4 linked regions of the Alligator mississippiensis genome follow. The protein of the gene in region 2 purifies or fractionates together with the protein of the main gene of each other region. This does not show direct contact. Links are inferred from orthologs where the notes say so. Each region holds a gene or a part of one and is shown on either strand. Other genes may lie near its edges. The genes, in order: SMARCA4, CREBBP, SMARCB1 and SREBF2.

Evidence for each region.
Region 1: the proteins of CREBBP (region 2) and SMARCA4 purify together in Homo sapiens (affinity purification with western blotting; 3 studies listed by BioGRID, with this or other methods). This does not show direct contact. The link is inferred for Alligator mississippiensis from reciprocal best matches to the Homo sapiens genes CREBBP and SMARCA4.
Region 3: the proteins of CREBBP (region 2) and SMARCB1 fractionate together in Homo sapiens (co-fractionation; 3 studies listed by BioGRID, with this or other methods). This does not show direct contact. The link is inferred for Alligator mississippiensis from reciprocal best matches to the Homo sapiens genes CREBBP and SMARCB1.
Region 4: the proteins of CREBBP (region 2) and SREBF2 purify together in Homo sapiens (affinity purification with western blotting; 3 studies listed by BioGRID and IntAct, with this or other methods). This does not show direct contact. The link is inferred for Alligator mississippiensis from reciprocal best matches to the Homo sapiens genes CREBBP and SREBF2.

The regions. Positions count from the first base shown.
Region 1 is NC_081831.1:23,547,664-23,555,565, forward strand, and holds the start of SMARCA4 (transcription activator BRG1), read right to left. Parts: upstream 3,018-7,902; 5' UTR 2,854-3,017; intron 1-2,853. UniProt on the Homo sapiens protein: ATPase involved in transcriptional activation and repression of select genes by chromatin remodeling (alteration of DNA-nucleosome topology).
Region 2 is NC_081836.1:24,211,084-24,218,145, forward strand, and holds the start of CREBBP (CREB-binding protein), read right to left. Parts: upstream 3,017-7,062; 5' UTR 2,798-3,016; coding exon 2,713-2,797; intron 1-2,712. UniProt on the Homo sapiens protein: Acetylates histones, giving a specific tag for transcriptional activation. Mediates acetylation of histone H3 at 'Lys-18' and 'Lys-27' (H3K18ac and H3K27ac, respectively).
Region 3 is NC_081833.1:18,298,660-18,306,337, reverse strand, and holds the start of SMARCB1 (SWI/SNF-related matrix-associated actin-dependent regulator of chromatin subfamily B member 1), read right to left. Parts: upstream 3,004-7,678; 5' UTR 2,923-3,003; coding exon 2,830-2,922; intron 1,692-2,829; coding exon 1,580-1,691; intron 1,009-1,579; coding exon 979-1,008; intron 1-978. Other genes in the region: MMP11 (stromelysin-3), read right to left, coding at 5,591-5,724, 6,839-7,096.
Region 4 is NC_081827.1:96,982,101-96,989,331, forward strand, and holds the start of SREBF2 (sterol regulatory element-binding protein 2), read right to left. Parts: upstream 3,017-7,231; 5' UTR 2,893-3,016; coding exon 2,811-2,892; intron 1-2,810.

The sequences.
Region 1 (7,902 bases), on a different chromosome or scaffold from region 2:
TGGTATTATTTATTACATGCAGTCAGAGATCTCAAAGATTTTAACACTGTAATATTTGGGTCAAGATTTTCCACAGTTTTACATAGAAAATTGTAGTATCTGGAAAGCCAAGGGCATTTTGTAAATGTTCAATTGAGAGGCACCTCCTTCCATGAGCTGTCCTGAGGTATATGCCTTGAAAAAAAAGCATATTATTCAATTAATTTACAAGGACAGTTAAAGACAAGCGCCACAAACAACAACAAAGACCCTGCTTTAAAACAATAGACTACATTGTTAGTGGCAGCCTAACCAAGAAGGAAGAGCAACCCACGCTGAAGCAGGAGATGAAGGGAAGACAGTTAAAATCCACTCCTGATATCAGGGCACCAGGGAACAGGGAGCATCCTGTCAATTGTCAATTGATTTGTAATAGTTGGTCCTGCTGAAGAAGGAAATTAATTTGCATTCAAATGTGCTTTGTGCATATCATTAAAAGTGGGGGGGAGGGTTTTTTGTTTTTTTGTTTTAACTGAACCCTGGGAGAAGATGCACTGTAAACCTGCAGCCCCAAATTCATGCAGATGAGGTGGGAGGAAGGGGGGATGACTGTGTGACAATGGGCTTTGTGTGTGGGGTCGCATGTGTTTCTGTGCCTAGTCTGTGCAGCTGCTACTGTGAATGGTGTTCTTCTCAGCCCCCTCCCCCAACACGAGAATGGGCTTTGTGTGCCTGTGTGTGCATGGGTGCACATATATGTGCATGTAGGGGAGCACCCTCCCCCACGAGATAGCAAGCCTGGGCAATGGGCAACAGCTTGGAGGAAGGGGTTCCTGGTCCCTCCAAGAGCAGAGGTGAACTGACTTGGCTCCCATGGGTTTCTTCCGCAGGCTTTGGCATTATTTTTACTGGTAGAAACTGAATGCAAAAAGGGCTGCGAGTTAGGGGCCTGGCCTCAATGGTGACCCTCATGTCACCCATTCCCCAGGGAACAGGAGGAGTAAGGGACCAGTGCAAACACAAGGGTTGGGTGGGGGAAAGTGATGACTATGGGGAGGTGCTCATTGTCAGGGTAGTCTCCCAGAAATGAGATGGGGAAAGGCTGAATGGGGGCAGAACCCCCCTAGGGCTGGTGGTGATGCTAAACCCAGGAAGGTCCTCTGTTATGCTGGGGGAGGACAGAAGGGGATGAGGGTAGAGATGCTGATGGGAAAGCCCACTCACCTAGGATGGGGAAAAGATGTTGACAAAGGAGCAGTTCCCTTGGAGGGGATGGGGGGCAGATGGTGATGCTGAAGAGCAGGAAGAAGGTAGGTACTTCAAGGGGGGGGGGATCTTAAAAGGGCAGCTCCCTTGGGGGAAGGATGAAGAAGATATTGTTGAGGGGGAACACACTGGTATTCTGGGAAGGATGGAGAAGAATCCCACTAATAAGTGGGGGCCACAGGTCAGTGTGCTGGGGGGGGGGGAAGGGATGAGGATGCCAAAAGGAGGGGATGAGCTGAGCTGCCCCTCCATGGGGTATGAGGGAGGAGAGACTCCCCCACCCTGTAGGGTATGAGAGGGTGAGAGATGGTGCTAGACGAGGTGGGGTGGTCTGAACCCTCAATGGTGGGGAGGGATCTGGGGAAGGGGAATGAGCCCCACAAGGGCTGGGGAGGGAGACAGCAAAGTCTTCAAGATTGACAGAGGCAGATGCTGCTGGGAGGGGGGCAGAAGCAGGGAGGAGCTGTGTTGGGGTGCTGTATGCAGAGACCCAGGGGATCTGGGCGGAGGGAAGAAGATGGGAGATGCCAAGGGAGAGGCAAGCAGAGCCCCCCATGGGGTGAAAGAGGAGGGAGATCATTCAGTGAGGCATGGAGGGGGAGAGGGCCCCTATAGGGTGTGAGGTGGGAAAGACAGAGATGCTGATGAAGGAGGGAGGGCTCTGAGCCCTACGAGGGCAGAGAGGGTTACCAAAGGCCCCAAGAGCAGATACTGCTAGGGAAGAAGGACTGGGGGGGGCAGAGAGAGGGGATCTGGGGGGAGAAGGAAATGGAAATGCCAAGGAAGAAGCAAGCAAAGTCTCCCTATGAGGTGCATGGGAGGGGATCCCACAGTGGATCATGCAGTGGTGGCAGGATGGAGACTGAGCCCTGTAAGTGCAAGGAGGGGGGAAAAGGTTGCAAAGCCCCCAGGAGGGGACAGGGCAGCAATGGTGCAGAAGGGAGGGAGGGGCTGGGGGGGGGGGGGTGCAGAGTGCCAGGCACCTGCAAGGAAGTTGGGATGCCTGGGGAGGGGCCAGAAAACCCCCTGATAGGGGTGTGGGGGGATCCCCTCGGGGGGAAGGAAGACCCCGACACAGTGTGAAGGGGAAAGAGATGCCTCTGTCTGGTCAGGACAGTCTGAACCCCCAATAGGGAAAAGAGGCCTGAGCCCCATAGAGCCTGGGGAGCCACGAAGCCCCCCACGCGGGCACAAGGACTGATGCTACCAGGGCAGTCGGGGGGGGGACGGAGGGGGGGAAGGGGGCTGCACAGACACGGGGATCCCCCCCACGGGCTGTGACAAGGAGGGGAAGAGATGCTGACAGGGTCTGAGCTCTCAATGGGGGGCAGGAGACCCCTCCCGGGACGAGGCGGCACGTGCCCGCGAGGATAGGGCCCCGAGGGAGGAGGGGCGGGGGCCGAGCCCGCGTGAGGCGACGCTGCGGCGATGCCCCCCCCCCGCCCGGCGAACAATGGTCCCGGCCGCTCCTGTCGCGCGCGCCGAGGTGTCTTGACCCGCCCGGGCCACCGTAGCCCCCCTCAGTGCCTGGCCCGGTCCCATTCCATGGGGGGGGCCGGCTCCGCGGCCCCCGCCCCCCGCCGCGGCCCCCCCGCCCACGGGCCTTACCGCGCCCGGCGCCGCAGGAGCCGCTCGCACGGTGCATCCCTGCCGGGGCAACGGGGGCAGCGCGCGGGCTCGTGCCGGGGGGGAACAAAGGAGCCACCGCCGCCGTGTGCGAGGGAGGCGCGCGCGCACGCGTTCCCCCTCCCCCCTCCTCTGCGCGCGCTCCCGCCGCAGCGCGTCCTCGACCAGCGCCGCGCGCGCGCGCCCCCGCCTCGGCTAATGGGAGGGGCCTCTTTGCCAGCCGGCCGGCAGCAGTCGCGTGCGCCCAGGGGGCGGGGGAGAACCGAGCCAATCAGGAGGGCGAAGACAACATTTTCGCTCTCCTTTGACCGAGCTTTTTTTTCGCCCCCCGCCGCACCTCCACCAATCGGGGGCAGCGGACCCTCCCCCTCGTGGCTCGGCGGCCAATCGGGGTGCGCTGCGGGGGCTGCCACTCTCTCCCACCTCCCTTCGCTCCCTTCCGCTTCGCGCTGACCCCATGCAGCTCCAGCCAATGGGGGTGGGGGGGGCGGTGTCAGGCCGGCTTCGAGCCGGGCTCGCTCCTCTAGGGCGGAGCGAATGCCCTTCCCCCCTGTTCCGCTGGGGGAGGAGGGAAAAACTGCTGTCGCCGCGCATGCTTAATGCTAGCGCCACTGCGGCGAAGGGGAGGGGGAGGGGAGTGTTGGAGAAGGGGCTGGTGGCTGAGGGAGAAAGGGGTGGGGGAGGGGCGACTGGGAGAAAAACGGAGTGGGAAGAAGGGAGAGGAAGGGGTGAAAGGGGAGTACTATGAGGGGGAAAGGAAAGAGGGGGCTGGAGAGCCAGAGACTGGGGGCTTATTCTCTTGACACCCCACAGCCATCCAGGGCTAACGGCTTCTCTGCCAACCCTCTCACCTAGGCGGGGTCCCAGGCTGAGAGGCACCAGGCTGCAGCTTGGTCTAGTCTCAGGAGAAAGCCCATTGTTTGAGACAGGGCTGCCCTACATTGCCCTGGCAGCCCGAAGGGGATGGTGCTGATGTGCCTAGGTAATCCTGGCCTTCCCAAAAGGCTTGATGAACATGTGCTAATTAAGCATCTTGGCTCTTCTGAGAGGCAGGTAAGGGATACCCAGGGACAACTTCCACCTTTGGGTAGAACTACCACTTGTTTAACAGCGTGGAAAAATGCTACATAAATTAGAGTGAAGGATGGGACACAGCTCTGCACCTAATTGAAATGGCAGAGCAAGTTAGGGCATCTTAATAAACCAGCCCTTAACAAGAAGTGCCACTGTGTGGTGACTAGCTTCTAAGTTTGTTGGGGGTTTTCAGCCTTGGCTGAAAGATAATCTCTGCTGCAAGACAACACCCCCTCGCACCACATTTGGGCATTGATTCAACAGGAAAAGCACTCCATTGACTCACCATGACACTGTTTGACTTGTGAGAGCAGATAGGGTCAGGGATTGCCAAAGGCATTAGCTCACATTGCCGGTTCCAGCCAAGGCCCACAAGGTTCAGGGCAGGAGGATGATGTATGCACATGTGGAATAGTTACTTGAGGTTCTCACATGCTTGTGAATGTATTTCCCAGGAGTGTCACCACCTGACTTCAAGCTGCAACCTTTTGGATCCCACCCAAAAACAGCCACAGTTTTCCTCCCACAAAGCTCTAGACGCACATGCTCTACTTTATTTATCCTTCAAATAGGAAAAAAAACCAGTCACTGACACGTCTCTTATTCCCAGCCTAGTCCATAGTATTGTAGTCTACACCAACTGGAATCTGCTAACTGATCAATGCAGAAGGCAGCAAATGGACAAAGTATCCCTGTAGCTAACTAAAGAAAGCAGGGTTCTTTGGGAGGTGGGATTCAGTTGGAAATAATTCATATTTTTTCTAATCTGCTTTCCTAATTTTCTCTCATCTTCAAGGCTTAATAAAAATAGTTCTAAATCATGAAGATTTGGTGCCTAGGTTAGAAATCAGCTCGGTTTTTGCTTAAGGATGGGAGGGAAACACTTAGTTCTTTCCACAGCAAAGGCTTCTGGAATGTAATCTGGTTCTGGAGTTCTTGGATGCTTCAGAAGGATGGTTAACAGGTGGGGAGGGGATAAATAGAACCCCTTTCTAGTCATGGCATAAGGACTGGGAAATGGGGGGGGCAGACTGTAGCAGGGGAGGACACAGCTAAGACCATAGCTTTGCTGCAGCTCATGGGCTAATTCTGGATAGTGGCCTGATCAGATACAGTCCCTGGAATGAGTATGTGCATCTTTTCCTACTACTCACATCCCATTGCTGTGTTTAGGGTAAGCCAGCTGGAAAAAGGAGAGAACAGAAAGAAAATTAAAGAAGAAACACTGCAGTGATCTAACTAGGCAGACGAGAAAGGGAGGCCTTGAGAGAAGGAAAAAAGCCAGTATAAAAGGAGAAATCAGACAAAATATTGTAAAGGAGAATTATTTGGGAAGGGGACATATGTAACTGGACGTCTCTCACCAGCTGCTGATTCTGGTTTTCTGAGGTTTCTTCTTTTTGTTTCCTTTCTCTACATCCTTCTCTCTCTCTCTCTCAAGGGGCTTGAAATGTGGTTATATGCCAGACTTATAACTCCCTTGTGCCAGGCCCCTTCAATTTGTCCTGTAGAAACATACAAAGAACGGTTAAGATGAGCTCAAGTTTGTATTGTAGCTAAAATGAACCCAGATGGTACTGTAATTTCCATTAAAAAAAACCCCTCACCAGCATTTCCAGTGGAAGCATTTTTCCCAGACCCTCCCTGGGAAGTGTCTGTTCAATTTGTCTATCCATTTTCAGAAGTTCCCAGCACCACTGAAAAGCCGAATAATTAGAACGGGAACTGCTTTCCTTTCAATCCCACAGGGGGCCACGTTTCTGCAGTGGATGTAGTGTTCCCATCTGAACGCCTGCTGGAATCCTCCTTGAATGACAGGCGCTAGATATAAAGAATGCCTATATAAACATGAAATTACATTATTTATTCTATGCCAATTAGTTTAAAAGTTGTCTTCCTTAAAGCCGAGCCTGACAGAAGCCAATAACCTGATCATTTCAGCTAGCATGAAAAAGCTTAAGAGGTTGCAGACATGCTGGCATTGAGTTATTCAAATCTTTCCTCACCAAGTTCATTCTTGGAGAAGCACTGATATTAAGCTTCAATTAACATGCACGTTATAAATTGAGCTTTACAGAAAAACATGCCCAGAATGCCTTATTCTCTTCTTTTTTTTTCCCCCTCAAAAATTAATTTTCACTGCAGTGAGGAAGACTATTGATTCTGCTGTCGCGTAATATTGTTCCCCCCCCCCTCTTTTTACAAAGAGAACATCAGTGCTTGCTCCAGATTAAAAAAAAAATAGAAAAATCTGAAAATCCTACCCTTATTAAATGAGCATAAATCAACTGCTGACTCTTGAGGTGGAAGATTTGCATTTCCTCAGATGTCTTTAAGAATGCTAGTTGCTGGTGCCAGAGAGCTGCTGTTGGTATGAAATTTATGTGAAGGGAGAGTCAGCCCAACATGTTTATTGCCTATTGATTTTTCCCCCTCCTTTGCCTTTCATGACCACTATGTAGTCTGAATGCATATAAATTACAGTCGCCTTTCACAGGAGCAAAACAGCATTAATACATCACAGTAAGCCCTTATGTAGCTTTACATCTTCAAAATGCTTAGGTTGGCAATCTCCATTTTACAGGTGTGTAAACTGAGGCACTAATTCCACTGACCAAACTGCTACTTGTTGGGAGAGCTGAAGATACACCAAAAAAAAAAAAAAAATGGTCCTGAGTCTCAGTTACTTTCTGCTGTCCAGTGGCACATTCTAATCGAAAGCAAAGGGAAGGTGTAGTGTGTGAATGGGACAGGGTGATTTCACTGAGGATTTGTTTTTGGTGGGTGGACTAAATATTTGATTTTCTGGGCTGTGCTTGTTCCCTAGGTGTGTAATCCATAACTTCCTGTCTTTATTCTGGTCATAGTGACTCTTTCGGTCTGTTTTTCACATGGTTTCTTGGTACATAAATATTCAGTTTTTATATAACCAAAAAACCATTCTCTTATAGATCTAAACACCCTAGCACTATATAACAGCTCCCCCCCAACAATCCATACGTCTCAAGCACAACAATCCATATATATATATACACACACACACATACACACACATATATATACATATATAGCACATATGATACTGGAATACAGGGCCTCATAAACTCCTGTACTGTGATCCTGCCTCTACAAGGAAGTAATGTATTTTCTAGGATTTACTGAGCCCTCAATTCTGTTATCAAATGTGTGCGCTATCCTTCCCCACAACATTATTAATTCTAAACTAACACAATACAAATATTCTAAAAAGGGTTATAGGTTGGACACAGGAAATTACAGGCCATTTATTCTGACACTGATTCCAGGTAAAATCATAGAAAAGCTGAGACTATGCAATCCATACAGAATTAAAAGATGGCAGCATAATTAATGCCAGTGAACATTGGTTATATGGAAAATAGGGTTTGTCAAACCTATTATTGTTTTTGATGAGATCACAAGTTCGGTTGATAAAGGTAACTGTGCTGACATAATCTACTTAGACTTCCATAAGGCATTTGACTTAGTCCTGCATGACATTCTGACTTTTAAAAAAATTGGTAGTATACAAAAATCAGACTATACTTAAATGGATCGAAAACTACTTAACTGAAAGATTGTAAAATATAATTGTAAATGGGAAGTCATTGTCTGTTAAGGCTATTTCAAGTGGGGTCCTGCAGGGATCTCTTCTTTACCCAAATGACATTTGGTATCTTTTATCACCCATTCAGAAGCAAATAGAAAATTTGGAGATGATACAAGCATAATAAGTAATGATTGGTCAGTTACACAAACCAACTTAGACCATTTGAGTCTTAAGTATTTTAACACAGCCAAGGTCATACATTTAAGAACAATGAACAAAGGTTAAAATTATACTCCAGGAGAATATATCCTGGAAAACAGTGACTCAGGAAAAAAGTTAGGGTTCAGGGTACATAGCCAGTTGAATTTTAATTCCTAGTGCAATGCTAT
Region 2 (7,062 bases):
AAATAGTACAAAATGCTAGACTATTTGCCTCAAGCAGTTCTTATTATAATCACTGTAATGTAGATGGAGTAACTGTATTTCACTGCTTTTAACATTAATCAACTACTTCTACCATAAAAATTAAGATACTTAAATATTTACTCTAAAAAGGGGGGCCCTTCCATCCAACTGCTACACAGACCATCATATGAACTAGGAACAGAAAAAAATTAAACAACAGCATGCACATTAAACATTCAGGTCCACCTGTGCAGTTAAGACCATTCAGAACACTAAAATTAAGCAGGTATATAAGCACTTGCAGGAATGCAAACTTAATCTTTAGTAACAGAACGGCACAATTGAGCTTTACATTACTTACACCTGAATCAATTTTAATCTCTCACAAAAGGACGCAGCAAACAGCTAAAGTATGCCACTAAATACAATTGAGTGTTACACATTACACAGCCTATTGCTTTTAAGAGCACATGGCTCAAACCTATTTGTCCAAACAACTGTGATCAAAGGCAACTTTCCAGGTTGCAACACAAGGTTCTATTACTAAAACAACAGGCAAGAGCTCATTTTAGGGTCAGAATTTGAGTAAAACATTATAATGAACACCTTTTTTTTTTTTTTTTTTTTTTTTAACAACCTGTTATCTCATGTGGAAACATTCATTCACCTTTCAAATAGTATTAAAAAGATAACTCAAAGATAGATGGAATAAAAACCTTTCAATATACCAAGGATACAATAAAACCAATGCTATTCAAACTTTTCAGAAGTATTACGCTATGAATATTTTTAGATGCTGACCAGACACTATAAAGGTACATGTGAGAAAAACGACTTTTCGGACATCATCACTGTTGAGGGACCAAGGCCCTCAACTCTACAAACATTTCACACCACTGCTGTCAAGGAGTTCTCTGAGGCTACTCACAGGCTTAAGTGTTTGCAGAATTGGGACATAACTTAGTGTGTCCCAATTCTAAAGAGAAACTATTAACTTCAGAAGTCAGTGTTTCAAGTTGTTATTTTACCAGCCAGGATTACACGCTATAACAACTATATGAGAAATTAGGATAAACGATTTCCTTTTTTCTTTGGTTCCACAGTTCATTTTATAATTTCTATATTCACTCTTGTGAATATAGAAATTCACTATATGTCACTCTTCTTCAACATGATATCCAGTTATTTGCAGAAAAAGCTAGAATCATTTATAATCTTTCAAGCATTTCCTCCCTTTGCTACACATTATATGAAAGAAGAATGGCAAAAGTATCTACTACATAGTCAAATACAGATAGTAAATAAGCTGAAATAGCAGTACACCTAATCTTTCATTTACAGCATAATTTTTCAGTGTAAAAAGCATCAGGCTTAATTAAAGTCCCTTTCACTAAACATTCACATGCCTTCATAGACTTGTGGGTGTCAAACATGCCTTCTTGGTCTGTTACTGCTTTTTCAGATACTACCCTAAATTTCAAACTATACACATGCACATAAAAGTTTACAAAAATAAACTGTAAAATAATCTGTTCAAAATAGAAAAGTATTCCCCTTTTCCTAACATGATTTTCAAAGATATTTTCTACTGTGATAAATAATTACTGCAAAAACTACAACTATGTTGTTCAACTATGTTGAAGTGTACGTATTTTGAGACTAGTGAGCATTTTCAATACACAAGACATCATACAACTGGCATGCATAAGACACCTGCAAATTTCTATAGGAAAATGCTCAAAAGCAGACTAAGGTGACTATTTGTAAGACCCAACTTTTCAGTTAAGAACCAGGTCATAACAGTTACAAAGGTAAGTATAGGAAAACATAAATTCTTTACACCAAACAAGCAAATAGTAATTTTAAACAGGGAAATTTGACATTTTTTTTCCTTTCCCCAGAATGTAAAGAACTTATATAGTCAAAGCCAAAAACTTTCAGAAGTAGTTACTGTGAATGAAATCTTTCTGGTTCTCAAACGCACTTCCCAATGGATGAAGGCACATTTACACCACATAATGACTGCTCAGGAGATATTATTCCTGCTCCCTGGCTAACTATGTGGTCTTGACAAAGTAGTAAAATGCACAGAATAGGCACAAATAATTCTGTCTAAATGCAAGTCAAGCTGAGACACCACTAAGTCTTCCAAGAGCAAGTACAGAAATCCCTGGACCATGGCAGTGACATGGCTCCAAAGCTCCCTACAGAAATCCTCAAGTTCTGATCAACTGCACCTCTAGTTTACCTTTATCTGAGGGCATAAGCAAGCAAAGGCAGGGAGGAATGATCCCTTTCACTTCCATTAGGTCCTGCCAAGCTCTGGGGAACCCGTCACCGGTCCTGGAGCAGCGGCCACAGCTGGAGGACAGGCGAGCCAGCCGCCAGTGAGCTCCGCTAGAAGGGGATGGGGGTCCGGCAAGTCTGGCCTCCGTGAGGGCCGGCTCAGCTTGCAGGGACGGGGCAGCCAGGCTCGGGGGGGAGGGGGGGGGCACCTCTCCAGCCAGGTCTGGGGCTGTCAGGCTCCTCCCGGACTCATCCCCTAGCTTAGAGCCGCGGGGCGGGGCGGGCCTGGCGACTGCCAGAGAAGCGGGGGCTTTTGTTCAGCGGCGAGCCCCAAGGGGGACGGTCCTGTCCGGCCTCAGCCCGGTCCCGCGGCCCCGGAGCCGCCTGCGAGGCCGGTGCGCAGGTGCCGGCTCCGCGGTCGCTCACCTGTGCTGTCGGTGGGGGGGAAGCCCGGCGAGTTGAGCTTGGGTCGCTTGGCGTTGGGCGGCCCGTCCAGCAAGTTCTCCGCCATGGCAGCCGGCTCGACAGTCACAGCCCCAGCCCCGCCGCGCTCCGCCCGCCGGCCGGGGCCGCCAGCTCTTGCGCTCCGAGTCGGGCGCCGCCAGCAGCCGAACAACAGCGCCGCTCAGTGCCGGGCCGGCGGCGGCCCCCGCTCCCCCATGCCCGGGCCGGGCCGCCGCCGCAGCAGGCCGCAGGGAGGAGGGCTCGGGCTCGGGGCGGGGTGGCGAGAGCCCAGCGCCCCCCCTTCCCCCCCCCGCCTCGCTCCTCCCGGCCGCTCCCCCGCCCTCGCGCGGCGAGGAGGTGCCCGGATGGCGGCTCAGTCAGTCACTCCGGGAGCACAGCGCCCCCCCCGCGCCCGACCCGGCCCGGCCCGGCCCGTCCCCTCCCCTCCGCGCGGGCTCGCCCCGGCCCCGACCCCGGCCGCGGCCCAGGCTCCGCTCCGCGCTCGGCCGCCCCGACGCCCGCCCACCCACGAGCAGCCGCCGCCGCCGGCAAGAAAAACAATGAGCGCAGCGCGGCGGCCGCGGCTCCCGGTCCCGGCGGCGGCGCCCGGCTCCCCGCCCCGGCCGGTGCTGCCCCGCTGGCCGAGCCCGCCTGGCCTCCGCGGCGCTCCGTGCGGCTGCCCGTGCCCCGGAGGGCCGCCTCGCTGGCCCGGCCCGGCCCGGCCCGGCCCTGCTCCCGCTCGCGCCGCGCTCGGCTCCGCGACAAGATGGCGGCTGTTGATTCCTCAATTAAAAAAAAAAGTTTTTTTTTCTCTTCTCTTTTCCAGAGACCATGGGGGCGGGGGCGGGGCGGGGCCTGCGCGCTGCGTCACCGCGCAGGGGAACGCCCCCTCCCCCGCCATCGCCGGAAAGACACGAGCGGCCGCGGAAACAGCCGAGCGCGGCCGGAGTGGGCGGGGGAGGGGGAAGCGTATGCAAATAGACATGCAAATATGGGGTGCCCGGTGCGCGCCGCTGTAGCCACAGCGCCCCCGAGGCTCCTGCCTGGGTCCTGCGCCCCTCGCACGGCCGCCGTGCTGTGGGCACTCTGCCCCCGGGCACCGCCACGCCGTGGTCCCCACCGCCCGCTGCCCCTGGAGCACCTCATGTCCCCGCCAGTCGGCCAGTAAGCGCCTGTCCTCCCTGCCCTGCTGCCTTCTCCCCACCTCGCCTCAGCGCTCACCCCCGTTCTGCCTCCAGGTGGTGCCTCCTCGCCCGTGGCAGCACCCGGCAGATTTTACTAACTTACACGGACAATTTTGTAATCTTAGATCACTTTGAACACAGGTTGGTCTTCACCGGTCACACATCTGCTCCCCTCCAACACGCTGCCCGAGGCAGAGTGCTCACCCTGTTGCCTTCCCCCGGTAATACCCTCTGCCTACACCTCCCTCTCCACCTTCCTGTGATGCCCACCATCATCCACTCCGGCATCCGCCTCTGCGTAACACGGATTGAGCAACTGCTCTACTGTCTATCTATAGGTCCAAACCTCCTAGCACCTTCCTCCATACCTACTTCCTATCCTACAGTGCCCACCCACACTTCTCACCTTTTGCTTCCCCACAGTGTTCCCGTCCAGTTTGCCTCTCTAGAGGGTTCAGAACTTCCCACACCTCCAGCTCATCTTTCCTCCATGCTCCCCCATATTCCATATGCCGATACTCCATAATCCTGAATGACCCTGTGATATGTTCGTGTACCTGCCACACATTGCCATTGGAAATGTCTCTCACACTTTCAGAACCCCAACACCCGTCAGCACACCTGTCATGCAAGATCCCCATGTTTTTGCCCATCCAGCTGCTCAGCACTTGCCCACCTTCAGGCAGTATCAGGGCGTACTTAAGGGTCTAAGGGAGACCCCAGCAGTCTTTCCTGCCTATGACAACAATGAAACTTCACTACAGCACCAGCCAAACTTTCCCCAGCAAACATTTACCTGTACACATTCTTGCTGCCTCTATGCAGAGAGCCATCACACTGCCTCTGCATGGTGGCAGAAGTGCACACAGAAACACTGTTTCTGTCAAACTACTTGTAATATAATTTTAAGGCAAAAAAAGTGGAGGTGGTAGAAAACAAGGTGGATGGGGGCAACAAACATAAGATCTCTTGATTGTACAGATGAGTTAATACATTGCTTTAGTTGGATATATTAGATTTTATGCGTCTTAAAGCTGTAATAATCTATTTCCATTTAAAAAAAAATCTGTTTTATCAGTTGCTACATTATATTTGTTACTTTTATGAATTTCTTTAGTTATTAAAGGGATTACTTAATATGGCTGCCAGCCATAGCACGACTTAATAGTTCCCTTTAAATTAATGGTTCCAATACCTATATTATTCCTATTGCTATATAATTCCTTACTAATGCATATTCCAGTGAATAATTACTATTTTTTGTTAAATTATATCAGTAGCATAAATGCCTGGGGGGGAGCAGGGGCACCTGGGGCCAGAGGTGTGGGCTCTGCTTTTTTTGAGAGGGGCAGAGATTCAGAAATAACTAGCTACATGGCTAGTGGTTGGCTGCACCTCTACCACCAGCAGCATGGCGTCCAGCACTATCGTGTGTGCTAAAACTGCCCCTGGTGCCAAGCTGCACTGTTATGGCTCTGAATTCCGTCTTTCAAATCTCAAGAAAATCAATCATGTCCTGTAAGATTCACAATAGACAACTCCAATTCCAAGGATCTCAGTAACTACTAGAATGCCCAAAGTCTGGGACCAGAAACATTTTCATATGTCCATTATTTTAACTGGAGGCAGCATAATGGTAACAGTATATTCATTGCTCTTCAATTGTCAGTAATTAAGGACATCTAACATTGAGGAAATTATGAATTGCATACACTCTTTTAATGTATCAATTTCACTGTCATATATTTGTACCAGTTGGGAAGAGGGAACATACATTTTATGTCAGAAGTGTGGGAGGATTCAGCCTCTGGGAGAGAAATCAGGTCATATTGTCTGTCACAAGCAACAATGGATCACAGTGCTCTCAACTTCCTTACAACTTACGCCATTTTCAAAATGTTCAAGCAGTGAATATTGAATGATGGCCTAATTCTTTACCCAAAACTTTCCCATTTAACCATCAGTGGTTAGTTGTCTTGAATACAAGGTGTTCACTCTAATAATTTAATCAGTCGTCAGGGTTTTTTTGCAATATTTGTTTTCCAGTACTGACTCAACATCTGCTGATTCAGAAGACGAGGACAAAACTTCTAATTCAGATAAGGATTTACAGGATCCACCAGTGGGGTCATAGTAACTCACACATCCTTTGGGTATAGCTCCAGGAAGACTACTTACTACTTCAGTCGAGTGCCGAGGGTTTGGAACAGGTTCCCCCATGAGGTGGTACAGTCACCAACCCTGGTGAACTTCAAAAAGCATCTTGACACACACCTTGCTGGGGTCACCTGAGCCCAGCAGTCTTTCCTGCCTATGACAACTATGAAACTTCACTACAGCACCAGCCAAACTCATCCCAGCAAACAAGTTGGGTGCGTCCAGACGAGTGCACATGTGCCTCTTGCCCCATCTCAAACCCCTTTGAGGCAGGGCAAGGGGCACTGAAGGAGTGAAAAAATGTTCCGTGTGCTGCAAGAAAATGAGACCCCTGGATATCCAGGGGTCAAACAAAAACCCGGGGGAAAAAACTGGGTCTGGGACCATGCCCTCAGGCAACTGGAGGCTTAGTCCTCCCGAGACGCTCTGGCAGAGTACCAGAGCATCTCTATGATTGGCCCTTTCTCTGCTCCTGAAGCATGCTGCCTACCTGTGCTGGGCAGGCAGTGGTGCAAGCTGCAGGGACCCAGACCCAGCTTTTGCCAGGTAAGCAGGGGGTTGGGGGCTGGAGAGGGGGGGGACCTCAGGAGGCTGGAGATGGCAGGGGAACAAGCAGGGGACTGGAGACAGCCCTGGAGGCATTCCCCTGCTGTCCCCTGCTCTCCCGAGGCTGGAGACAACGGGAATGTTTCTGTGGCTGTCTCCAGCCCCCTGCTCCTTCCCCTGCTTTTCTCCAGCCTCAGGGGGGCAGGGGGCTGGAGGCATCAGGGGAATGTCTCCAGGGGCAGTCTCAGCCTCCTGCTCCCTCCCAAGGCTGGAGACAAGCAGCGGAAGGAGCAGGGGGCTGGAGACGAGCAGGAGGCTGGAGACAAGCCCCTGGAGATAAGCTGGAGACTTCCCGTGCTCTCTCCAGCCTCCTGCTCATTCTCTGCTACTGCTGGTGAGTGGGGCGGGGGGGGAGGGGGGGCTGGGAGAGCAAGTGGGGAGCTGG
Region 3 (7,678 bases), on a different chromosome or scaffold from region 2:
ACCCAGTGCTTCTAGAGCAGAAGGCTAAGGCCTATTATTAGAGAATCAAGCACCACTTTTTGTAAGGACAAAAGGAATATCTTGAGCTATTTAATAACAAACCTTAATATTCCTGCAAGAAAATGACTGGAAATGTCCAAGTCCTCATTAAATATTAAATCTAACGTGCATCAGATGAAAATGTCTTTTATCCTGGAGTTCCCACTGTAGATATATAAAAAAAATCTTCTTAATCTGCTTACCTGGGACCACACCTCAGCAACAAGTTAAAGACCACTCTCTTTGTTCCTTCTTTTGAACATAAAATGACTACAGACAGGAAAATGAGCTGACACCTAGCTTTACTCCTGTACCATAAATCCACAAGTGCCATCATGGACTTAAGACCTGATGCTCATGTAGCATCCTTTAATGAGGTGCTTGATTGCTCCCACTGCAGGACAGAGACATCCTAGAAACTAATGAGGCCTGGAGGGCGGGCTAGAAAGGAGACAGAAAGCTAAATGCAGAACAGAGTTCAGAACAATCCCATGCACCAGCATAGGCTGGGGGCTGACTGCCTGGGCAGCAGCTCTGCAGAAAAGGACCTGGGGGTTACAGTGGACAATAAGCTGAATACGAGTCAGCAGTGTGCCCTTGTTGCACACACTAATCAAAAGCATTAGTCAAAGCTAGACTCCACTGCAGACAGGACAAGTGCCTGTAAAAACCAGGTAAAAACGAGAACTGGGAGACTGGTTGGCAGCCCCCCTCATATCTGGAGACAGCCCACAAAACCCACACATAAGTTTGTGAACAAACACAGTCGGTACAACCACTAAGAAAAATACATCCTTCTTCAAGGCAGCAAGAGCCAAAGTAGAGGGCAAACGAGTCCAATGACCCAGAAGAGGCGAATATGCTTGTACAGCAGTAAGGGTCAGAACAGGGATTCGTTGTCCAGCAAAGCTAAGAATAACATAGGCTGATAAGACTTACATCTTCTGGGACTGTGAGACCGCTGTGACTCTATTGGAAAAAAAACAGAAAGCGACAAGTCAGCAGGAAACTCAGAGGAAGGAGACAGAAGCCTGTTATGCTCCAGGCCTGTTGTTTCTATAAGGTTATGTTTCTTTTTTCCAAAAAACCCAAAAAACTCAAGTAGCTTGTTCTCCTTCATGAGAGAAACAAGGAAACAAACTCCTGAGACAACAAAATTTTGACTTTGCTTTGTTCCTATTGGTGCAGTTCTCGCATTACAACAGCTCTAGAAGCTGCGACCATTCACACTGATCTTCCCATCTCACATGGAGAGATCCCAGAGAGGAGACAAATCAGAGGGATATTTTTTTTTTTTTTTCGAACAAGCACCATGACCCTCCTGCCCTGTTATCACAGGAGCAGCGAGCAAGCAGACTAGATTAGATGCTTGCTACAGCAAATGAAATTCACCTGAGAAAAGTCAGAAAAGCCTTAGTCTCCTGGCATTCAACGAGAGCTCCCTCAGGGGTGGGGGGTGATTAGATGGTTTTTGCCCGGTCCCATTCCCAGACACTCCTTTTGTGCATGAGGTGTTAGGACGAGATGCTCGGGGCCTTACCGTGAGAAGATGCGACGATTTTCTTCCTCTCTTCCACAGTGGCCAGCCGCCTCCACAGCGAGGGGTACCGCTTGTACAGGGAGCCCCGGAACATGCGCAGGTAGTTCCCCACCTAGAGCCCAGAGCGTGGAGGTTCGGTCTGGGGGGCACCGCGAGCCAAACGAGGCCCTTCCCCCCCCCCCAAATGGTGGTGGTTGGTGTGGGGGGGGGAGGGGCAGCTCTTTCACCCCCATCCAGCCTTGTTCATCAGGCCCTGAGCCCCGTGGGGCTGGCGGCCTGTCTGCCAGGCCCAGCAGGGGCTGCTGATGGCTCGGAGTGCCCGGAGACCAGGCGCTGTCATGGGGAGTCTCCCCCCTCATCTATCCTCACTCAGGGGTTGGTCGGTCAGGGGCCAAAGTGTTTGTGTACAAGAGAGTGTGTGTGAGCAACATGACCCCTGCCCCAAACGGGGGGTGCGTGTGTGCACCCATCGTGACCCCCTGCCCCAATCAGGGTGTGTGTGTGTGTGTGTGTGTGTGTGCCCATCGTGACCCCCTGCCCCAATCAGTGTGTGTGTGCCCATCGTGACCCCCTGCCCCAATTGAGGGGTGTGCGTGTGTGTGTGCACGCGCGCGCCCATCGTGATCCCCTGCCCCAATCAGGGTGTGTGTGTGTGTGCGCCCATCGTGACCCCCTGCCCCAATCGAGGGGTGTGTGTGTGTGTGTGCACATGCGTGCGCCCATCGTGACCCCCTGCCCCAATCAGGGTGTGTGTGTGTCTGTGCCCATCGTGACCCCCTGCCCCAATCGAGGGGGGTGTGTGTGTGTGCGCATGCGCACGCCCATCGTGATCCCCTGCCCCAATCAGGGGGTGTGTGTGTGTGTGTGTGTGCGTGCCCATCGTGACCCCCTGCCCCAATTGAGGGGTGTGTGTGTGTGTGCACGCGCGCACCCATTGTGATCCCCTGCCCCAAACGGGGGGCGTGTGTGTGTGTACCCATCATCGTGACTCCCTACCCCAATCAGTGTGTGTGCACGCATGTGTGTGCCCCCACCGTGATCCCTTGCCCCAAACTGGGGTGTGTGTGTGTGTGTGTGTGCGCGCGCCCATTGTGACCCCCTGCCCCACTCAGTGTGTGTGTGCGCGCGCCCATCATGACCTCCTGCCCCAATCGGGGGTGTCCAGGCGGTGCCGGGGCGCTCACAGCCCGTCTCCCCCCCACCGCAGGGCGCTTCCCGGCGCGGCCCAGCCCGGCCCGGCGCGGCGGTACCTCGGAGCCGATCATGTAGAACTCGCCGTCCTCCTCCAGCTGGAACTTGACGGGCTTCTGCCCAAACGTCTTGCTGAGCGCCATCATCATCATCGTGGCGGCGGGGACGGGACGGGACGCGGCAGCGGCTCGAGCTGGGCTGGGTAGACTGCGGCCTGCTCCGCGCTCTCAGTGCGCACGCGCCGCCCCGCCCCCTCGGGCCCGCCGGGTGGGCGGGGCGGGGCGGGGCGGGGCGCGCTGTGCGCTTGGCAGCACTCGTCCCCCCAGGCTGGTGCCGTCGGTCCCCGCCGGCTTTCCCAGGCCGAGTCCCGCTGCACGCGGCGTTTGCCTGGCTCGTCTGGCGCCAGCCGGCAGCGGGGGCTGCAGCAGCGCCGAGGGGTCGCTTGGTTGGTGCCGCAGACACCGGGGGCTGGAGGGAGCTCGGGCCGCATCGAGTGCAGCCCCTGCCCGGAGCAGGGCCGTCCCCAGCGGCATCGCCCCAGCCAAAGCTTTGCCGAGCAGGTCCTTAAAAGCCTCCCAGGCTGGAGATCCCACCCGTCTCCGGGCAGCCTGTCCCAGGGCTTCGCCCCCCTCCTCGGCAGGAGTGTTTCCTAATATCCAACCTCAGCTTGCTGCGACTAGAGACCCTTGCTCCTTGTCCTGTCACCTGCCACCGCTGAGGACAGTCTGGCCCCGTCCTCGTGGCAGCCCCCCTGCAGGTGGTTGAAGGCTGCCCTCAAACTTGCTCCGTCTTCTCTTCCGTGACTAAATGAGCCCAGTTCCCTCGGCCTCCTGGTGTGTCGTGTCCCCAGCCCCTCAGCCATTGCCTCTGCCTTCTGCTGGACTCTCCAATTTGTCCACATCCCTTTGGGGGGCTGCAAAACTGGACACAGTCCTCCAGATGTGGCCTCCCCGTGCTGAGTAGAGGGGAATAATTATCTCCCTGGATCTGCTGGCAACGAGCAATTACTAGCAGCTCTGCAGGGGCTCCTCAGGCTTTGCCTGTCCTCAGTGTTTGCTATAGTTTTCCTTCACTTTTTTCTTCAGCACAAGGCCATAGTTTCCTGCCTACATCCTGATCAAAGGCCTCTAAACACTACTGCAGTGATATATATTATTAGGTGAGGATAATTGGTAGCCACAACTGCTGCATTTGATGAAACTGGGTCAACTGAGCATGTTGAGACCTGGTTACAAAAATACCACTTGCGTTTCCAGCTCCGTCACTGCCTAAGACGAGGTCTCGAGTTGGGACCGGTTTTAAAGCTGTTGTTGATGTTGAGAGACTCAGACCAGGCAGAGCATAGAAAAGAGATCACGTTCATTGATACAGCACAGCATATAAATATATACACAGTATATATAAAAAGGGTTTATACACATTTTACAAACATTTACATACAGAAGAAGAACGGCTGTAGAAATGGGTACTGAGAAGACAAAAACCTTGACCTGAAAAATGAATGAGGTAAATTTGTAGTGCTTAGGCAGACCATGCAGGCTAGGGGTGGTACAGGCCATGTAGCCACATCCCTTATTTGCTGTGGGTAGGTTTAAATCCCACTTGTCTCTGCTGACTAGCTCTGAAGGAAAGCTGATACATGGAAAGGATAACTGAGTAGGTCTCAACCCCCTCTGGACTACCCTTCCCAGGACAGTTGGGAAGAGCAGTAATGGGATGTCGTCATGCTACCTGGGACTGTAACAACCAGCAAAAGTTTGTTTTGTTGATTTCTTTTTTAGATCCGTACCAAGCATCAGAAATGATGAGATTGGGAAGCAGATGCAACTGGAATGAACTGGAGAGATGGGGCGAGGGCTAGGAATGGCATGGATGAGAGAGGTAGAAAGGGGGAGGAACAAAAAAGAACAAAATAATCATCGTTTGCACAATGATTTGCAGTGATAGGGAGAGAACAAAGAGCTGAACCGAGACCTGGACATTGGCCAAGTGCAGTTCTGAAATTGGTGGTGAAGTTTCAGACCCTCCGCAGGTCGTGTGGTGATCTAGTGTCCTACTGAGACTCCCAGAGTTAGTAACAATACATGGAGATACAAGGCAGCGTCCAGCACTGAAACCTAGCATCTTTTTTTTTTTCTTAAAAAAGTATGTAGTATTTTCACAAATCCATATAAAATGAAAATACATACTTAAAATGCAATACAAAAACAGAAGTATCACTAGACGTGGAACAAGATGCTGAAATTCAGGAGCCCACCCCGTCCTGTTGAAGTAACCCTGGCAACATGGGCACATATCTGAATTTCTCAACACATAGTCAACTGACTGTTAAAACTCCCAGCCAAGGCTAAGGAAAGGATTATTGATGGAATCTGTTCTCACCAATGCAAACATCAGTAAGCGAAGCCCCGCTGTACACAATGTAAACAAAAGAAATACCAGTGGAATCCCTTTTCTAAGTGGATGGTGTCCAGATAATTATGGAAGCAGACCCCATTCCAAGTTGGCTTCTTGTCTTTAGGATGTCAGTGCCAAAAAACTGTTAGAGCAGCCACTCGACCCTTAATGCAGGCAGCTGGTAGTCATCAAGGCTGCAGTCATCTTTAATGTCTATACCAAGCTGTGAGTACAAACTCCTGGAATCTAAGGTTTCCACCTTAGACTAACAGCTGCCTCAAGCCACTTGTGCCACCTATGGTGTTAAGTGATGAGCACGACAGGAGTGGGGTTTCTTTGTCAGAGTGTGGGACATCTCTTGAGGTGACTGGTGGTGATGTGTGAAGGCAGGAGAAGAATCTGGGGCCATTAGCACCCCTTTCTTCATCGGAAGGAGTTGGAGGAAGGTGTACAGCTGAAGAAGTCCTGGCTGATCTGGCGTGGGTAACCCTCTAGCACTTTCACCTGAACTGGGTCGAACTTCCAGTAATGTCGGCCTCTCAGGAAATAGGCAAAACCTGTGGAAATAGAGTGGTGAAGTGTCAAAGGAGACAGAATATATACTACTGACAAGACCCTTCGTTTTTTTCAGAGGATGAAGAGCCACACCAAAGGCCAGAACACTAAACAGCAAAGGAGGGTGAGCAGAAAGCTGTGCATGTCAGTCGTGTCACCCAGAAATGTTCTTCCCATTGTTTTGCTTCACTAGGTTAGCAAATCAGGCTGCCTTTTTTAAGTGTGGTACCAATAGGGGAGGGAGGTGAGGAGAGAAATACAGCCTGAGTGGGAGATAAGGGCTCAGAATTAGACCTTTACTCGATATGCAAGTAGGTGTAGGATGGTGGTGATGGGAATCTGTTACCACTGAGAGATGCCCTTCCCTTGAGATTCAAGCCACTACTGAGAGTTCAGGCATAATGCTGATTATGAAGGACTCCCTTGGAAGGAAAAGATGTTAGGGTTAATGCATCTCTTGTCAAGTGCTCCCAACATATTTCTGGATAAAGGGTGTGGCATTGCTCTGCCATTTTTTAGCAAAGAACCCCAGTGTGGGGAACCAGATGATAATGACAGTACTTCTCTGCTATTCTGAGCATCCTCCAAAGCAAAGGAAGTGCTGTTCATAATGCTGGTATGCATTTTTTCTTTGTGGAGTGTGTACAGTGTGGAAGTTTTCCTTGTGTTAGTCTGTAACCTCGTTAGATTACTGATTAATACAAGCATTGATCAGTGCATATACAGCTTATATAAACTAAGTCATATAAACTCACGTGACTAAGAGAATGGAGGGCAGTATTGATTTAGAGTCTCTCTAACCAACAAAATATGTCTACATGGTTCTCCTTGCATTTTCTCCCAAAGGATGCTAATATCCAGGAGGCTACAGATGCTTAATTACTTGGTCGTCTGCAAAGTTTATTACAAATGCATCAGTCACATACACACTGGACACTGATTTCACGCTCAGTATACATAGTGTTCATATGTGTGCATTCATGTGTTTCTTTTATGAATGCTAATTTACACATGATCCTTACACTCCAAATCCTGCTGATTCCCTTCCCACTGAAGAGGCAGGACTAGGTGAGAACACACATGCAGGGATATGTGTCTCCTCCTTTCTGTACTCACCAGTCTCATCCTGGAAAGCAGCATCAATCTCCTGAGGGATGCCACGCCAGTCAGCCATTGTGCGGGGGTAGACGTTGTCCACCTGGCGGGCGCTAGGGTTGAAGCGCCAATAATTGCCTCCCTTGAAGAAGTAAATCTTGTTCTTTTCAGTCCCCCACATCAAGGCTGCCTGGACGGGAGAAGTAGAAAGGCCTAGCTCCGTAATAGGTGCAGGGCCAGAGACACGTCTCTCACCATCATAAATCCAGTACTGAGGGCCTGATGAGGAGAAAAAGGAAGAACATGTAAGGGCAGGCATGATTGAAGGGAATGTCCTGTCTAATGTCTGTGCAGTGGGATGTGCCAGCATGTCAGCCCAGTTGAGGGAAAGCTGTCCATGGCAGGGAAACCACTGCCACCACCACCACAGGCCCCTTTGCTGATAGTGATTGGGATGCTGGGCATCAAAGGGACAGGGATAAGAAACACTCATCTCACCCCTACAAAAGGCTGTGGTTGTGTCAAGGGGTGATGTGGAGAGAACTTGCCTACCTGCTGCCTTTCCTTTGCCTCTTTTGAGAATTAAGGGACTACTTCAGTCTCCAGTACTTTCTGTCCACACTGTCACATGGTGCCAACCCCAATGGGGTCAGAGTCCCAAGTGATGAATCTGTGTAACATGAAAATAAGCTTCTCTCTCCCCTTCCAGTTGGTGAAGACTTGGCTGCTGGTTATTGTTCTAAAGTGGCTATTGTGGGCAGGCTGCTCAAAGGAGCATGGTTAGGATTTTGCTCTGTGTGTGCTGAGAGGCATTTAGTACCCACTGCATTATCCCAGCTAGTGTGATGATATAGAGAAGTG
Region 4 (7,231 bases), on a different chromosome or scaffold from region 2:
ACGAACTTTACAATGATGAATGCTGGGCAACAGACAACACTAACTTCATCCCCAGGAGACAGCTGAAAAAATATGTGTACACTCATTTTTTTCCTTTTAATGTCGCCATGAAAAAATTGAGTTGAAATACCAGGGAAAGGAACAGACATAAGCAGTTGAAAGGGTTGATTCAGGTGGAAAAAAGTACTCTAAATGTATGTGTTCTGTGCCAGATTCACTTTTCCAGGATAGGAAAAATATTTTTGATATGTCTTGTACAATCTGGATCTCAAATGCATCTTTTTGCAACGTTTTTACAGCCAACATAATGTTTTTCTTTTTAAACTGTGTAGCACTGCAGTAAGCTGCATGTGGACATTTTGTATGGACAGACCTACATTTTATACAGTTAGTAGGACTGATCAGTGCTCTCACACAACACTCCCTGGCCTCATTCCAGGTCCTACTCTGCAACCTGAACTCGCAAAGTACTAACTTCCTAGAGTATTCAGCACCTGGGCACTAGGGCCTGGACACTGCACAGTCACAATCATTTACCTTGCCATGTATGTTTCAGACTGACAAGCTACTGTAAACTACTGTACAAATGCACGCATTTGTAAAGAATGGACTGCAGAGAATACTCTAGCCTGAAAGAGCAGAGTGTGTGGCAGGGCTGCTGCTGCTGCTGCCCTGGCAGTGAGATAAGGAAGATTTAAAAAAAAAAAAAATCAAAGTTATTTGACAAGCTCGTGTTGGACTGCAAAACACCAGGATCTTGCATGCTGGACTGCAAAACACCAGGTTCAGACATTTGGTGTATGTGCTTGGCTGAGGAGCCAATGGGGCGAAGCTACCATCTGTGGGATTATGACTGAATGCCTCTAAATCAGAATCCCCCCTAAACGTAACGATACCGCAGCGCCGTGGAGCCTCGGGTGGCCCCGGACCTTGCTCTTGCTTCACCCCATCTAAAAATGTAACTTAGGGCTGAGCCAAACAAAATGCTCCCATGCTTCCTTTCCCTCTGTCGAGGATGAGTTGCTCTGAACTATACCAAACTGGCTGCATCAACTAGTAACACTGCTGACCAATAACTGATCAGAAAATCTGCCTCTTGGTTCGGTCTACCAACATCAAATGGCTGTTACACACCAGGTGACAGAAAGAGCACCTATTGTTTATTCTCTGAAAAGACCGCCACCTATAATGCTTTACATATTCAATGAGCAGCACCAACATAACCTACTAATATTAAGCTTCAGCACCCTTTTGTATAATAAGCTATAACATCACCTAGCCCCATTTTGCAGATTGTAAAATAGCAAAAGAATTTCCTAAGGCAACATTACAAGTTAGCAGCAACTCTTAACTCCAATGTGTGACTCAATGTTGTATTGATCCACCAGGGAGGATGCTGTAAAACACATGTGCTCCTCCCTTCGTGCACTGCACAATCAACTGTTGAGCAAAGCCAGAAGAGGCACTTGTACAACAGCAGGCCATGTTAGCAAGTCTCCTGTTTCTTCTGCAGGCCAGCATTTATATTCAGTCCAGATCAGGTGTTCACTACCAGGGAACAACAGAAAGAAACTGAGCAAAGGGGGGGGGGGGGGGGGGGGGGAATAAAGCATCTGGGAAACGTCTCCTTTTGGTAAGGCATATTTAGGATTCTATGGAATACCTGCTCATAGAAATCAGTGAAAGCCCAGATGTCTGAGTCATTTATACAGGGGCTTGGAAAGGCACGAGGGAGTACATTTCAAGCAACTTACTGCTGACTTCAGACAGGCTAGAACTAAGGGGAAGATGCAACTTAACTTGCCTGCATCCTTTCCAATTTCTTTGATGCTAAAACCAGCTATTTATAGGCCGTGACACTTCAAGTTATTAGTAGGAAAGAAGTAGGAATCTGGGCAATGAGAATAAGCAGCACAGTGTTTACTGCTGCCAGGACAAAAGCAGGTGCCCCAAACCCAGATGTCTGAAAGGACACTACTATTCCCGTACCCTACACACACACATTCACACTGCACTTATTCCCAGTGTCAATCCCACAAAAGGGCCCCCCAAGAAAGCAATGGCTATGATGAAACCAGAGAGTTGTTGACGACTGCCCCATCCCTTGCGAGCATCCGCTGTTAGCCAGAAACATCCATATGGCAAACTCTCAAAAAGCAAGAAAGAAAAAGAAAAAAAGCATGGTGGAAGCTGATGGAGATCCTGCTCTCAGGGGCACTCCCTTGCACAGCAGCCGGGGACACAGGAAGGCAGCACACACCTTTCAATCGGGGATGCCAACAGAAATAAAGGCTTCTGGGATGCAACAGTCTGTGCGAGAAGCACACCCATGGCAGGCACAGCGTAGACACGCAACCCTGCCTGGCGGATGTGGGCCAGGAGTGGCAGAGCCCCGGGGGTGACTTCTGCCTAGCAGGAAGCCCCATGGTGCCCACGCAGGTGAGTCTCGCCCAGCAAACCCCACCTGCATGGGACAGCCAAGCCCCAGGCAGAGGAAGGCAGTAGGGCCCCGACACCCTGCGCCCACCCAGTACCCTCCACCCAGCCCACGCGAGGCAGGAGAAGGGTCTGGCCCAGCCAACCCCACCTGTGTGCGAAGGCCAAGCCTGGGGGCACACGAAGACACCCTGTGCCCACCAGGCCCACCGCACCGAACCCGCGACAGGGCGGCCCCCCACGCGCGGGCCCTCACCCAGGGCGGCCCCACGCGCGCCCCAGGGCCAGGCTGCGGGCACGTGCCCCCCACGCGTGCCGCCGCCCCACGCATAACCGCGCGCAGCCCGCGCCCCACGCGTGACCCCCGCGCTCACCGTCGATGTCGCCCAGGGTGAGCTCGTCGCCCAGCTCCGTGAGGGTCTCCATGGTCTCCATGCCCAGCTCGCCACTCTCCATGGCCGCCACCGCGCGCGGGCCCGCCCCGACCGCTCACCCCGGGCATCAACCGTCCCGCCGCTCAGTCCCTGCTCCGAGCTCCCGCAGGCTCCGCCGCCATCTTGGGCCGGCCCCGCCCCCCCGCCGGGCAGCCCCTACCCCTACCCCCACCAACGCGGCAGCGCTCCCGCGGCGCGTTGTCAATGAGACCAGGGCCCCTCCGACCAACCAGCGGCCGCGCCGGCTCGTGGTGTGATGGCGCGTCGGCGATCAGCAGCTTTGATTTGCATACATAGCCCCGCCCCTCCACCTCCTTTTCTCTCCTCCTCTCCATGTGGAATATTCATGAGGGGGCGGGGCCGCCTTGCTAATTATTCACCAGCGCGAAGGAGAATTTAAAGGGGCAGAACGCAGGAGGGGGGGCTGCAGGGCGGGGCGGGGCGGGGCGGGGCGGGGCAGGGCAGGGCAGGGCAGGGCAGGGCAGGGCAGGGCAGTGCAGTGCAGTGGCAGCACCAGGAGAGCTCAGGTGCTGGCAGGGCTAGAGCGAGGTGCCAGGAGCCTGGCTGAGCCCTGCACGCTGCCAGTCCTCCAGGGCCTTCCCACAATTCCCACCTCCGGGCACAGGACACAAGCACTCCCTGCCGGTGGGGCCAGGCCCTGCAGCTCAGCTGAGCGCAGCAAAGGGGCCTTCGGGCCCCTGGGCCCTGGAAACACCAAGGCCTGAGCAGGCATTAGGTGCCCCAGGGCTTGCCGGTGCAGGCAGAGCCCAGAGGGAGCAGCCCCCTGCAGCCCCAAGAACACAAGAATGACCGTTTCCAGGCTCTGCCCCTTGGGCCCCGGGGCCAGTGTCACACGGCAGGGAGGGGGTGCACAAAGGAGGAGGGAACTGGGTGCTGCCAGGGTTTTCCGCACTGCTCCTCTCACTCACAGCCTCCAGCATTCAGGGTCTAGACTCTAGGCCCAGGGTGCTCAGCCTCTGGCCTGTGGGCCAAATGCAGCACACAGAGCCTTGGAAAGCAGGTTGCCCGGGTCCCTGCAGGGCAGGAAAGTTGGAGCAGGGGCACAGGGGCAGGTCAGGCTGCCGCCCTCCCTGCTGTCAAAAGGCCAAGGCCCTTGCGAGGGCTCAGAGCCTTGACCTGCTGTTCTCCCCACATGGTGCTGGGCCATGCCTCCTTCCATCTGCCCAGCCAGGTTGGAGCTGGGCTATGCCTGCTTCCTTCCATGGGGCAAGCCATGCCCTCTCCCCTTTAATGGCTGGTTCAAGGTTGGGCCATGCCCCCTGCCCCCCCAAGCTGTTTGCCACACCCCTTTCACCTGCTCCACCAGTTTGGAAACAGGCCATCCCCCCCCCCCCCCACTTTCCCTACACAGCTGGCTGGGAGCCAGGCTGCTCTCCCATTCCCCTCCGCACAACCGGATGGGGACCTGCCACGCATGCCCCAGGGGCTGAACTGGGTCCACCTGCCCAATCAAGCCCATGAAGGGACAACGTCTGATTCAGAGGCCGTGCCCCTCACTTCTGTGCTCAATAGCAACTGATGCCCCTTTCCTCTAAGAATGCATCCCATCCCTTTTTGAACCTGGCTAAACCATCAGGCAGGCAAGGAGTTCCATACTCTCACAACACCCTGCGTGAAAAAGAACTTCCTTTTGTTAGTTTTAAACTGATTGCCTCCTGGTTTCATTTTGTGATCCCTACTTCTTGTATTCTGGGAGAGAGTAAATAACAAATCCCTGTTTACTTTCTGTTCACCATTTAGTATTTTGTAAACATTTATGTTCCGCCTCATGCATCTCTCTTCTAATCTGAATAGGCCTGGCCTCTTTAATCTCTCCTCCTATGGAAGAGCCTCCATTCCACTAATCATCCTTGTTGCCTTTCTCTGTACCTTCTCTAGTTCCTCTATATCCTTTTTGACATGCAGGGACTAGAGTTTGAGGATTTCTTGATTTCATTGCAAGTTTCACAATAAATGATGTGTTACTTGCACCTTATTTCTTGCCCTCCGTGGTTGTAGAAAAATACCTTTACAAAGTGCCCCGAGTGTTCCTAAAGGTTCAAAGACTCAATGGCAAACATAAACACACACCATACAGAACACAAACTATTGGGCAATTTCCAATTCTTGTGATTTTAAAGCCAGTCTCCCTGATTTGGGGAGGGCCCGACTCACAATTTGAAAATGTCCAAACTGGCCGTACTGCTGTGGAGTTACACTTGGGAAAAGTTAACAAAACCATCTCTCTAGTTATGGTTTAACCAGCAACCTGCAGCTCCCCTGGCCAGGCTGCATTTCAAATATAATCCTGTCGTGTCATTTCAAGCCATACAGTTTGCCAAATGTACATGTTCTCTGGATAGTTAGGGACCCCTGGCCTTCCTCTCTTACCTCAGTGCAGCCTTTGTATGGCAAACTGCTCCACCCTTCTAGCTCTCCTATTTAGCTGGCCAGGCAACTTTTGTTCCCTTCTGCCATGTGTCTTTTCCCCTAATTAATCGTTCTTCTTCTCTAACCACTTTCTTTTCTGAGGCTCTTTTGGTAGGGAGTCCAGCAATATACAGTCTTGGTGCTCTGATCTTTTCTCCTCTGTCTTCTCTTCCCACGTCTTTGTTTCTTCTTCCTTTTTAATGTCACAAAATCCATTATTTCCTTTCAAGCCCCACTACCAAAACCTTTGTTTGATATTGCCTTTATTATCACAACCTTCAGCCTCTCTCCCTATACTGTAGTCACCTCTCCAAATTGTTGTATTGGCTTCCTGCCTCCACACCAGATTCAAGCTCTCATTCATTTGCAAGCCTTTACATAATCCCCCACCTACACCTCTGCTGTTGCTTTCCCTTCACTGTCCTCAAATGCTCTACACTCTACCCAGTCCCTTCTCTTCTCCTTCTTCCTCCTCCCTTCCCACCCACTCGACCAGCCCTTTCTTCAGCCCATCTCCCTGTCCTCACCTGCCACGCAATTCTTCTTCACATCACTTCTGACAGCCATCTTTCCTCCTCTGATGACTAATCCGCAACCTGTCCCAGCCCTCAATCGTTCCCCTGTCTTTTGTGCTTAACATAGTATTATAGTGCTGCAGGGAAGAAAACACTGCTCCATGAGTGAAGTGTGGCATTAACCTATAGCTCTATATGAATAAAACGTTAACTATTCTGAAATACAGATGTCTCAAAAGTGAGGTGGAGAAGACATTTGACAGCAATTATACACAACGGTTGAAGACCTGAAGTAAAGACTGTAACTACCCAATACAAATTTGGCCATAACACTGGGGCTAGAACCTTTACTTTTGTGACAAGTAATGTTAGATCTGACAGTTTTCAGAGGCCATAGCTTCATTTGTAATGTGCAGGGATCCTGGTTTTCTCTGTTTAAAAAATCCAAAGTCTCTGATAAAAAATTCCAAATTTTCTGATTAAAACCCCCAAAATCTGCATTTTCCCATGATTAAAATGAAACACCACTATATTTTATTTATATATATAATTATTTTTTATTATTATTTTATTATTTTTATATATATATATATATATATATAAAATAAAGTTGAACACAATGTTTTATTGATATATTTGCAATTTTAAAGCAATTTAGAAGCCTACTAGTACCTCAATCGTCATAATAAAATAAATTCTAAATACCTATATACTTTGGCGTTTGATATTTTTTTATCATAGAAAATAATAGAAAAATCAAAGCTCCCCCTACCCACTTTGCTTATCAGGACACGGGTCCAGCTGTGGCTGTTCCCCCATGCTGCTTTGTGGTGCCGAGCAGCCCCAATATGTCGGTGACTTCCTCCCACCCATCCTGTTGCTCTTCACTCCCAAGCCACAGTTCTCCCAGCCCTGCTGATTCTCCTCACTCCCAACCCACAGCATCCTGGCCTTGCCAGTGCCTCTCACTCCCAACCCATACCCCCTTGGACCTGCTTGTGTCCCTCACTCCTAAACTACAGCCCCCCTCTCCCAGCCCCCCAGTGTGGGAAAGGGCATGTGTGGGCACAGGTGATGCGTGGGGGGTGGGAGGGGCACAAGTGACATGGGGGCTTGGGGGCATGTGCCCCCCAAGATTTCTGTGCCCACAACGGGGCACCAGACTGCAGCTGAGCTGGACAAGTTCTGGGGCAGGAGCTGCCTCCGTGGCTCATCAGAAGCAGTACACGGCACAAGAAGGAATGCTGCCATGGCCACAAAGTTGAGGTGCCCCCTGCCCACCTGGCAGCAGTCGGGGCACAACTCCATGCTGCTACCGCTGCTGCACCTCACTGTGGTGGCTCCTACTCCCCACAGCAGCCCACTGCAGGCTAGAACTCCTACATTTTTCTCTGTTAAAGGAGAAATCTGTGATTT